Linked DNA regions of Arabidopsis thaliana. The protein of the gene in region 2 purifies or fractionates together with the protein of the main gene of each other region. This does not show direct contact. Each region holds a gene or a part of one and is shown on either strand. Other genes may lie near its edges.

The links.
Region 1: the proteins of AT2G20060 (region 2) and RPL3P fractionate together in Arabidopsis thaliana (co-fractionation; one large-scale study listed by BioGRID). This does not show direct contact.

Annotation. Positions count from the first base shown.
Region 1 is NC_003074.8:5,977,198-5,981,384, reverse strand, and holds RPL3P (ribosomal protein L3 plastid), read left to right. Parts: upstream 1-1,690; 5' UTR 1,691-1,812; coding exon 1,813-2,184; intron 2,185-2,362; coding exon 2,363-2,572; intron 2,573-2,736; coding exon 2,737-2,841; intron 2,842-2,923; coding exon 2,924-3,037; intron 3,038-3,152; coding exon 3,153-3,326; 3' UTR 3,327-3,663; downstream 3,664-4,187. Other genes in the region: CRSH (Ca2+-activated RelA/spot-like protein), read right to left, coding at 20-952, 1,137-1,562; AT3G17460 (PHD finger family protein), read left to right, coding at 3,840-4,187.
Region 2 is NC_003071.7:8,657,258-8,662,077, forward strand, and holds AT2G20060 (Ribosomal protein L4/L1 family), read left to right. Parts: upstream 1-1,723; 5' UTR 1,724-1,872; intron 1,873-2,096; 5' UTR 2,097-2,126; coding exon 2,127-2,202; intron 2,203-2,274; coding exon 2,275-2,330; intron 2,331-2,459; coding exon 2,460-2,577; intron 2,578-2,968; coding exon 2,969-3,117; intron 3,118-3,202; coding exon 3,203-3,310; intron 3,311-3,385; coding exon 3,386-3,505; intron 3,506-3,606; coding exon 3,607-3,780; intron 3,781-3,868; coding exon 3,869-3,970; 3' UTR 3,971-4,301; downstream 4,302-4,820. Other genes in the region: AT2G20070 (defensin-like protein), read left to right, coding at 4,781-4,820.

The DNA of each region.
Region 1 (4,187 bases), on a different chromosome or scaffold from region 2:
AAATCACAGAAGTGCTTACCTCTTTTGGGTCGGTTAGACCGCCTTTATACAAAGAATGTGATGCTGTTCCAGCATTAGCGGATCCATCCATATCCATTGTCCGTATTTGTATCTCCATCAAAGGTCTTATCTGATCGCTGTCGCTAACATCAACTGCCATGTGTAAACTCCTATACCCATTTTCCTTTGGCCTAGCAATGTAGTCTTTTGTTCTATGCGGAATCTCCTTCCACAAAGACCGGATAATCTCACTTGTTCTGTAACAGGCTTTTTCGCCAACTTCAACATCGTTTACTACAGAATTAGGCATTAATATGACCCGTAGACCAAGCACATCGTTCACTTCTTCCGGTTTACGCCCATCTCTTAGGAGCTTCTTCATCATGCTGTACCGACTTTTATACCGACCTTTAATATATACATCATTCACCATTTCAGCCAAAACCAAATCATCCTTCAAAGACCGATGAAGCTGCTCTTTGTACACGTCTATCAACGGTTTAGACCCGTTCTCGTGACCTCTTAACCATGAATCTAAGTATATATACGAACACGGAAAAAGATAACGGAAAGAGATGTCCTCGAGCTCAAGTGACAGGTGATTAGCCCCCACCGCATGAGCTAAAGGAGAATAAATCTTCAACACTTCAAGAGAGAGAATCTGCTGGCGATACCTTGGCAAGTGATCCAAATGCCTCATCTCATCAAGCTTTGAAACCAAATCCATAATCACAGCTCTGATGTCATAGTAGGTTAAATAGAACTTTCTCAATGAAGCAGCAGTTTCATCGTCTAACACATCAACTTTAAAAGGAATATTCTTCACACGAAAAATCTCATGAAGCAGATGAGCAGTTCCAGTACCAATATGGTCTCTAACTTCATATATAGATATCGCATTCGCGTCCACCACCTCACTCAATATACTCGCCGAGATAACTTCTGCATCCATCTACCATTACCACATAATTTATCAAATATCAATTGATAGAGCTTTTCAAATAACAATGTCACAGAACTCACTTAATCTCAGATTCTAGTTCTAACTTAATGCTTCAATTTCGTCACAGAATCAACAACAAAACCTAATTCATCTAAACAAGAAACTGTGAAAAATGCAAGGATCGAGAGTAAACCTGGAGATCTGCGAGAATGATAGAGAGTGAGAGAGCCTTAGAAAGAGGAGAGCGACCATCAGAGGCAAGAGGAAGAGACTGTAAAATCGGAATCGAGAGCTTGAGAGCTTTAAAGAGTAACCTAGACGAAGACGTCGACAACCAAACCGAATTCATCCTCTCCGTTACTTCGTTGAAAGCTCCAACAAGCTCCACCACCATTTTCCCTCCCGCTGCCTCCGGAGACCGAGCCGTCGATTCAATCGCAGTATCCTCCACCTCCGACCTCGGATTCCACCGTCGACGTCGTCGCTGAATCAATTGAATCGAATAAAGACGACGATGCAGTACCTGAGATCTGCATCTCGGAATTGGAATCGGAGAAGGACGAATCACAGACATTTGAGAATTTGAGATTGATTTTGAAAATTGAGGCAAAATTTTCATGTACCGTTTTGTTTTTGTTTTATATGTCGCAATGGATAAGCCACGTAGGATTTTGTTTTTATTATCGTCCACATATTATAAAAAGAGGGAAATAAATAATATTGAGACTCTCTTTCTGAGATAGAGGCTTTGGTTATCATTTTGTCGCCCATCTAAAACCCTACGCAAAAGCCTTGAGAGTTCTGGTTTCTGCATCTCTCTCCTTCTTCGTTTAGACTTTAGCCATTGAAGGTCGCTTCGATTCGAAATCATGGCGGCCGTACCGAGAGGCCTCCTTTCTCGAATCAATCAGTTTCTATCAATACGGTCTATAACTCCTTCATCCTCTGAATCTCTTCCTCATTGTAGTAGCTTCTTTCTCATCCGACGATTCAGCTCCGATACTGGGTTGATGGACGGTGGTGGATCTGATATTATCGGGGCTCAGACCCGAATCATTGAGGCGAAACAAGGTGAGATGTCTAGTAGATCCAAGAGGACTGGGATCATCGCGGTTAAGTGTGGGATGACTGCGCTCTGGGACAAATGGGGAAAGAGGATTCCGATTTCTATTCTTTGGGTTGATGATAATATCGTCTCTCAGGTTAAAACTGTTGAGAAAGAAGGCATTTTTGCGTTACAGGTAACTCCATCGCAGTTTACTCATTCCCATTTTGGCCATGTAGTTTGTATCTCCTGGATTTATTGATAGGGCTCTTAGTGGTTACTTGATCAATCAATCGATTGCTGTAACTTTATGTGTGGGTTTATGAAGCTCATGGTTTAGTAATTTGATTGGCATGTGTTGTTCTGTTAGTTAGATCGGATGTGGGCAAAAGAAACCGAAGCATTTGTCAAAAGCTGTGGTGGGGCATTTCAGAGCACAAGGTGTGCCGTTAAAGAGGAAGTTGAGGGAATTTCCTGTGACTGAAGACGCTCTTCTTCCTGTTGGTACTTCACTCGGTGTCCGCCATTTTGTTCCGGGACAGTACGTTGATGTCACTGGGATCACTCGAGGAAAAGGTTTTCAGGTGAAACCATTCTCAGGGGCTCTAAAGTTTTATCTTTTCTTTGCGATGATAAGTTGAATAGTCTAGTGACAATGTGGCAGATATATAGAATGGAGTGCGGATGAAATAGTGTTTGTGCAAAGTAATGGCTGTGTTATTGATGTCTTTTGCTGTGTAATTTGCAGGGATGCATGAAAAGACATGGTTTCAGTGGAATGCCGGCATCACATGGTGCTTCATTGTCCCATCGAAGCGGGGGTTCCACAGGGCAAAGAGATGCTCCTGGAAAGGTATGTGTCAAATTGCTAAGATTCTTGGGAATTTTTCTCCAAAGCAAATGACACTACTGACTTGATAAATACACTTGAGTAGGTGTTCAAGGGCAGAAAGATGGCTGGGAGAATGGGTGCAGATCAGAGGACAGTAAAGAACGTTTGGGTCTACAAGATCGATCCTGCGAGGAACCTCATGTGGGTGAGAGGACAAGTAAGTATCTCAATCCCAGTTCCAGTCTTTGGCTAGGATCTGTCTGTCACAAAACATGAGCTCCATTTCTCTTCTCTTATTAGTAGGTCATGATTGTGATTTGGTGTTGTTGCAGGTTCCTGGTGCAGAAGGAAACTTTGTGTTCATAAAAGATGCATGGTGCAAGAAACCAGACATCTCAAAGCTTCCGTTTCCAACTTACTTAGCTCCAGAAGATGAAGATCCATCAGAATTAGAACCGTTGGTTGCAGATCTTGGAGAAGTTGACCCATTTATGTTGGCAGAGTGATGAAAACAGCATGATCTTGATCTTTATTTGGGCTTTTACAATGATTAGAGACCAGAAAGAAGCTGTGGAAGTGAAGGAATCACAGAGCTAAAGCTTTTTGCAGATGAATTTGTCTTTTTCTTATTTTAGTTGTTTGGATGTATGATTTGAAAACGATTAAATAGAGGAATTTAGGCTTGCTCGCATTTGTTATATCACAATGCTTAAGAGTTTGCAATAAGCAATGAGGAAAACACAAGATTATTATGTTTCCTTTCATCTTCCAAATATATACACTTCGTATTAACAAAAAATAAAAGATTCTGTTTTTAATTCAACAAGAATCAAGACCCAATTTTTAATCTTCTATATAAGTTTTTTCAGCTCCCAATAGAATTATACGTTGAAGTCTCTTCAAGCCCAAGATCTTCAACATTCTGAGAACAACACAAACGCTTCTTTCATCTTTCTCTCTCTCTCTCTCGCTTAGGGTTACCGTTGAGGGAGAGAGTTCTCAATCTCGTTGACTTAGCCATGAATCCGGAACAGAAACAGCGCGAATGCATAGTCTGCCGTGAAAAAGAGCCGTCGTTCATCCACACCGTCATCAAAACCGGCGCTTTCCGGCGACTCTGCACCGATTGTTTGCTCAAAGAGTACCGAGAACACTTTTGCTCTGTTTGTTTCAATCTCTTCGACAACGCCGTTCCTCCACAAGCTCGTATCATCTGCGTCAATTGCCCATCAAGCACCCACCTTTCTTGCTCAACTCAGCCGCCGTCTTCCTCCGCCGCATCTTCCTCCTCCTCCGCTCCACCACCAGCTTCTTCCTTCACATGCCAGCCATGTTCTAACCCCAATTTCACCTTCTTCCCCAAATCT
Region 2 (4,820 bases):
GCAGATTCTTTTATGCTTTATCTTAAGTCATCTTCGCATTTTATTTTGGTCAAAAGAAAGTTAGAAGATAAGAGAAAGTTTTTGGGTCACACATACGAAAGAAACGTAAATGGCTTCTCATGCCTAATAGCGCTTTCTACGCTTGTGGGGTATTTGATTGGATATACGTCACAACTCATAATACGTAGTTGTTTACTAGCTTATCTGTACATGGACTCCACTTCTATATGATATATATAGAAATGCCACTAATATACGTACGTATCCACAATAAGAGAATTATAATGAATGTGAGATTGGTAAGTAGTATCACATAATTTAAGGGTGTGAAGGTTAATTAACGGTAGGTTGTTCTATATTATATATGGTTACTCACGTAAAGTTTTTAACAAAATATACAAATTTTAAAATGTATTACTTAACCAATCTCTGTTCTCATGAGAGTAGTTTCGCTTATTCAAACTGCTACCAAATATTATCTAGTAGCCTTTTCTAATTGGTATACAAATACAAATTACACGATGTGATAGACACTTTATTGTTTGTGCATACTACCTTTAGAGTAGGCACTAGCCAATCATGATAAAAATGGCAAATCTAAAAAATATTAAGCAACATGGTAAATATAAAAGATTTAGGTGACAAAACTGAAAACAGAAGAAAAAACTTACGTTTTAACAAGTGTTATTAAATGCTGGTTTTGGACTAAAAGAGGATATGGGTTTAATGAAAAAACTTAATTTTTAGGAAAAAAAAAAAGGTGGAATTTGAGTAGAATACAACAAAAAGTCTTAGAGTTTGATTGGTAACACAAAACTTTAGCTGTTACGGAATAATGTAAAACTGTACAAAAGAGCTGTAAAAAAAAATTGTATCAAAAAGCTGAGAGTAAAGCTTTTCGTAACGCTTTTGATAAAGTTTTTGTAAATGGTAATTGTCAAAGCTGTACAAACTGTACTGTTTTGATAATGGGTTACCATTCAAAGCTTTAAATTTTAAATCGCATGATAACCTGTAAATAATTATTTTGAATATATGTTAGACTTTATTATTATTGGTTAACTATGTTCTCTTGATTGAAAAAAAAATAGATTTGTAACTCATTGCTGTTTTTTTTTTTTAAGAAACAAATAGAGAACTATATAAAAATATAAGAAAACGTTGGTTTTGTCCAAGAAAAAAATTGTTGGGTTTTGGTGGGTGGCAATAGAAGATGCCATGTACATAGTGGGAACAAGTAGCCTTACGCCCATAACATGTCGGAACATCACCAATAAATTTCTATGTTCAAAAATATCATTGTAACAAAAAGTTTTTCGAATTTCTTCTCCCAACCCACCATAAAAACCCAATCAAATGCATGTGAATGTTCTTGTTCATTTGATGAGGTCAAGATCAAGAAGCCATGTAATCTAGAATACAACAGTACACATGTGACTTGTTACAGTTTTGAACTCTCGTTCACAGTTTTGCAAGTTCTTACCAAAGCTATAGATGCCTCTCATCCCATGAGCCTTCATCACCTGATGGGCTTATTAGGTTTACAGGCTTGACTAAACTCTAGAGCCTATACGTATAGAAGAGGCCTGACTAAACGAAGATAATGAAATAAGCCCACAAGGCCCAAATAATTAATATCTTTTATTCTTTTTGGCAAAATGAAAAATCTGACTTATGGGCTTTTTAACATTTACACATTTAACTTCATGACCCAATGAAGACCCGACCCGTCTGGTAATGACCCGATCCAACACATGAGTAAACCTTCACTGAAACCTCGAAACTCCTCCAGAAGCCTAAAACCTTCACCACCAAATCGGTGCCTCCTTGAATAGTCGCCGCCGTCGTCTATCATCGCCGCTTGTGACTCCGGTGAGTATTCTTCTGCTCTATTGAGTTTATTTTGGTTGAAGCTCTATGAGATGTACGTGGGTCTGGTTTTCATTTCTGTTTCTTAATCGCTCGAATTAGCATTTGATAGCTACTGAGATTTTGAGTTTTCTGATCTGCCGAATAATCTTCGCCATTGTAGTGTAGATGTTGTGTGCCTTTTGATTAGATTACACTGAGAAATTGGATTGTTTTCGTGTTTGTAGATGAGAAGCTAGGTTATTGAATCAGAGATTATGGCTGCTTCAATTTCAAGAAGGATTTTTCGCACTTTTGGATCCTTTTCAGCTCTAGGACGTTCCTCTTCACCAAGTATTATCTCATTTTCCAAGCTTCTTATAAAATATGTTTGTTTCCTGGATCTCTGATTGTTTCTCTCAACAGATTTGTCTGCGAATACATCTGGAAATGGTTTAGCTTCTCTTACTAATGATCTAAAGGTTGGTGTGTTTAGTTAATGTCACTTTCTCCTTTCCTTCATCTGCATATTATTGAGTTCTACTTACTACTACTTGAGTGGTCATCTTCCTGATTTTGAGATGTTGATTTCGTATTTGTTATCAATGCAGTATGGAATGGCTTTACTTTCCAACCGAAAGCTCTCCACTTCTATTTTGACTCCTGATGATTCATTTCCTTCTGATTTACTTACCAAAAAGACTGTGCTTACACCAGACCGAACCATAGGTACGTCTCTGTTTGGTCTACAAGCTGGTTTTCAAGCTAATTCCAACATCTGTATCTTTCATGTGCTTTGCTGAAAATTTTGTTCCTTTCCTGGAATCATGTTGGTGGAATGGAGAGTGAGTAGTTGTTGTGTTATAAAAATGCAGTTACTTTGTGTTTTCGGAGGAGTAAGAGTTTTTCAGGCCTTATTTAGCTTATTACTTGAAGGTTAACGCAGATTTGAGTACCATTTTTTCGCTCGTGTTTGACTCTGTTATGTTCTCGCTTTTATTGGTTATTGTGCTTGAGACATGATAAAATCTCTGATCAATGATATTTTCTCTTCTACTTTCTCTCTTTTAAAAACTTCTGGACATGTATTAACTGGTACTGTTATTGATACTTCTCATAGGACAATATCAAGACTTGGTCATTCCAGTGACTAATTTTCAGAACGAGGAAAAGGGTTTCATGGTTTTAGCAGGTGATGTCTTTGATGTTCCAATAAGGAAAGATATCATTCACAATGTCGTGCGATGGCAGCTTGCGAAACGCCAGCAGGTAATTAATTAGTTATCTCACAATGCCTTAATTTAGTCATATAAGCAAACAATCAATAAGTGTGACACATGTTGTTGATATTTAGGGAACTCATTCGACCAAAACGTTAAGTGAGGTTAGTGGAACTGGTAGAAAGCCATGGAATCAGAAGGGTACAGGTCGAGCTAGACATGGTACACTACGTGGTCCGCAGGTAAATCAGTGTTTGAATTTTAAGGTTTCTTGCCATCAAATATAGATCTCTGATTGAACTTTATTGAACCATTAGTTCCGAGGTGGTTGTGTAATGCATGGACCCAAACCAAGAAGCCATGCCATAAAAATGAATAAGCAGGTTCGACGGCTTGGACTGAAAATAGCATTGACAGCTCGAGCCGCAGAAGGAAAAGTCAGCTTCTTTCTCTTCTTAATCATAAAATGTACTCTTGATAACCGTGCCTTCTTATTAAACTGATCTAATTGTACCTGCTGAATGGGAAATTTATGCAGCTCCTCGTGTTTGATGATTTGGGATTGCCTACGCATAAAACAAAGAACATTGTGAACTATTACAACCAAATGGAGAACACAAAGAAAGTCCTTGTTGTAGAAGGTGGTCCTATTGATGAAAAGCTGAAGCTAGCCACCCAAAATCTACACTATGTCAACATAATTCCATCAATAGTAAGTTACATAATCACATATCAAACCTTGTGGTTTCTCGACTAATTGGTTAGCGAATCTTGAACTTTGTTTACGTAACACTTTGCAGGGGCTAAATGTTTACAGCATTCTGCTACACGATACGCTTCTGATGTCCCGTGATGCTGTGAATAAGATCGTTGAGCGTATGCACACTCCTATTAACCGTTGAAGAGACAACAATGTCTTAAAATGGCACTCTCAATAAGAATACTAGATCACAAGGAATCCCGCATGTAGTATCTGTACCGGTTCATTGTTTGTTAGCTTTTTGGTCTGGTTTTGCAACATAGAATGGTGAAGGATTGAGTTTTAAAATAATGAATGGTGATACTATTTCTATGTTTTTAGACATTCTTTTTTTACCGTTTTAAATATGACTTAGGCTTTCGTGTTTTTGAAAAGGCATTTTGATAGAAAATTTCTATGAAAAATGATTTGCCTCAAAAACTTATGACTCGAATGAACAATTATTATGCTTAATTATGATTTTCAAATGATAACATTATGTTTGAACTCTTATATGGGTTCTTCCCATGTTACAATACGTACCAGGGTGCTCTAAAATATCCAATTGGTCCCGATCTATATATGTATGTAGAGACTCTTCCTTGGATAGATATTTGGTGAATCCAAAAATAAAGTTTTACAAGAGATGACGAAACAAAGGATAGTAAAAGAAATCAGAATCTTGATTATTGAAATTTTTTAAAGACAGAATCAGCCTTTATAAAGAAACAATATTCTTTATTCATTTCCTTCCAAAATCTCTCTTCTTTAAGATGATCTACACAATTAAATACCGTCGATTTCGAAAATTGAAGTTTAAAATCAATATGAGGATTTGAAATAAGAGCTTACATGCACACACACATATCTCTCTATATATAAGTGAGTAGGTTTACATGGTTTAATTTTCTATAACACGACACACACGAAAAAGAGAAGCAAGCACAACACAATTTTTTTTATAACAACTAAAATGGCAAACAATATGGTCGCATCTCCTTATAAGAATACGT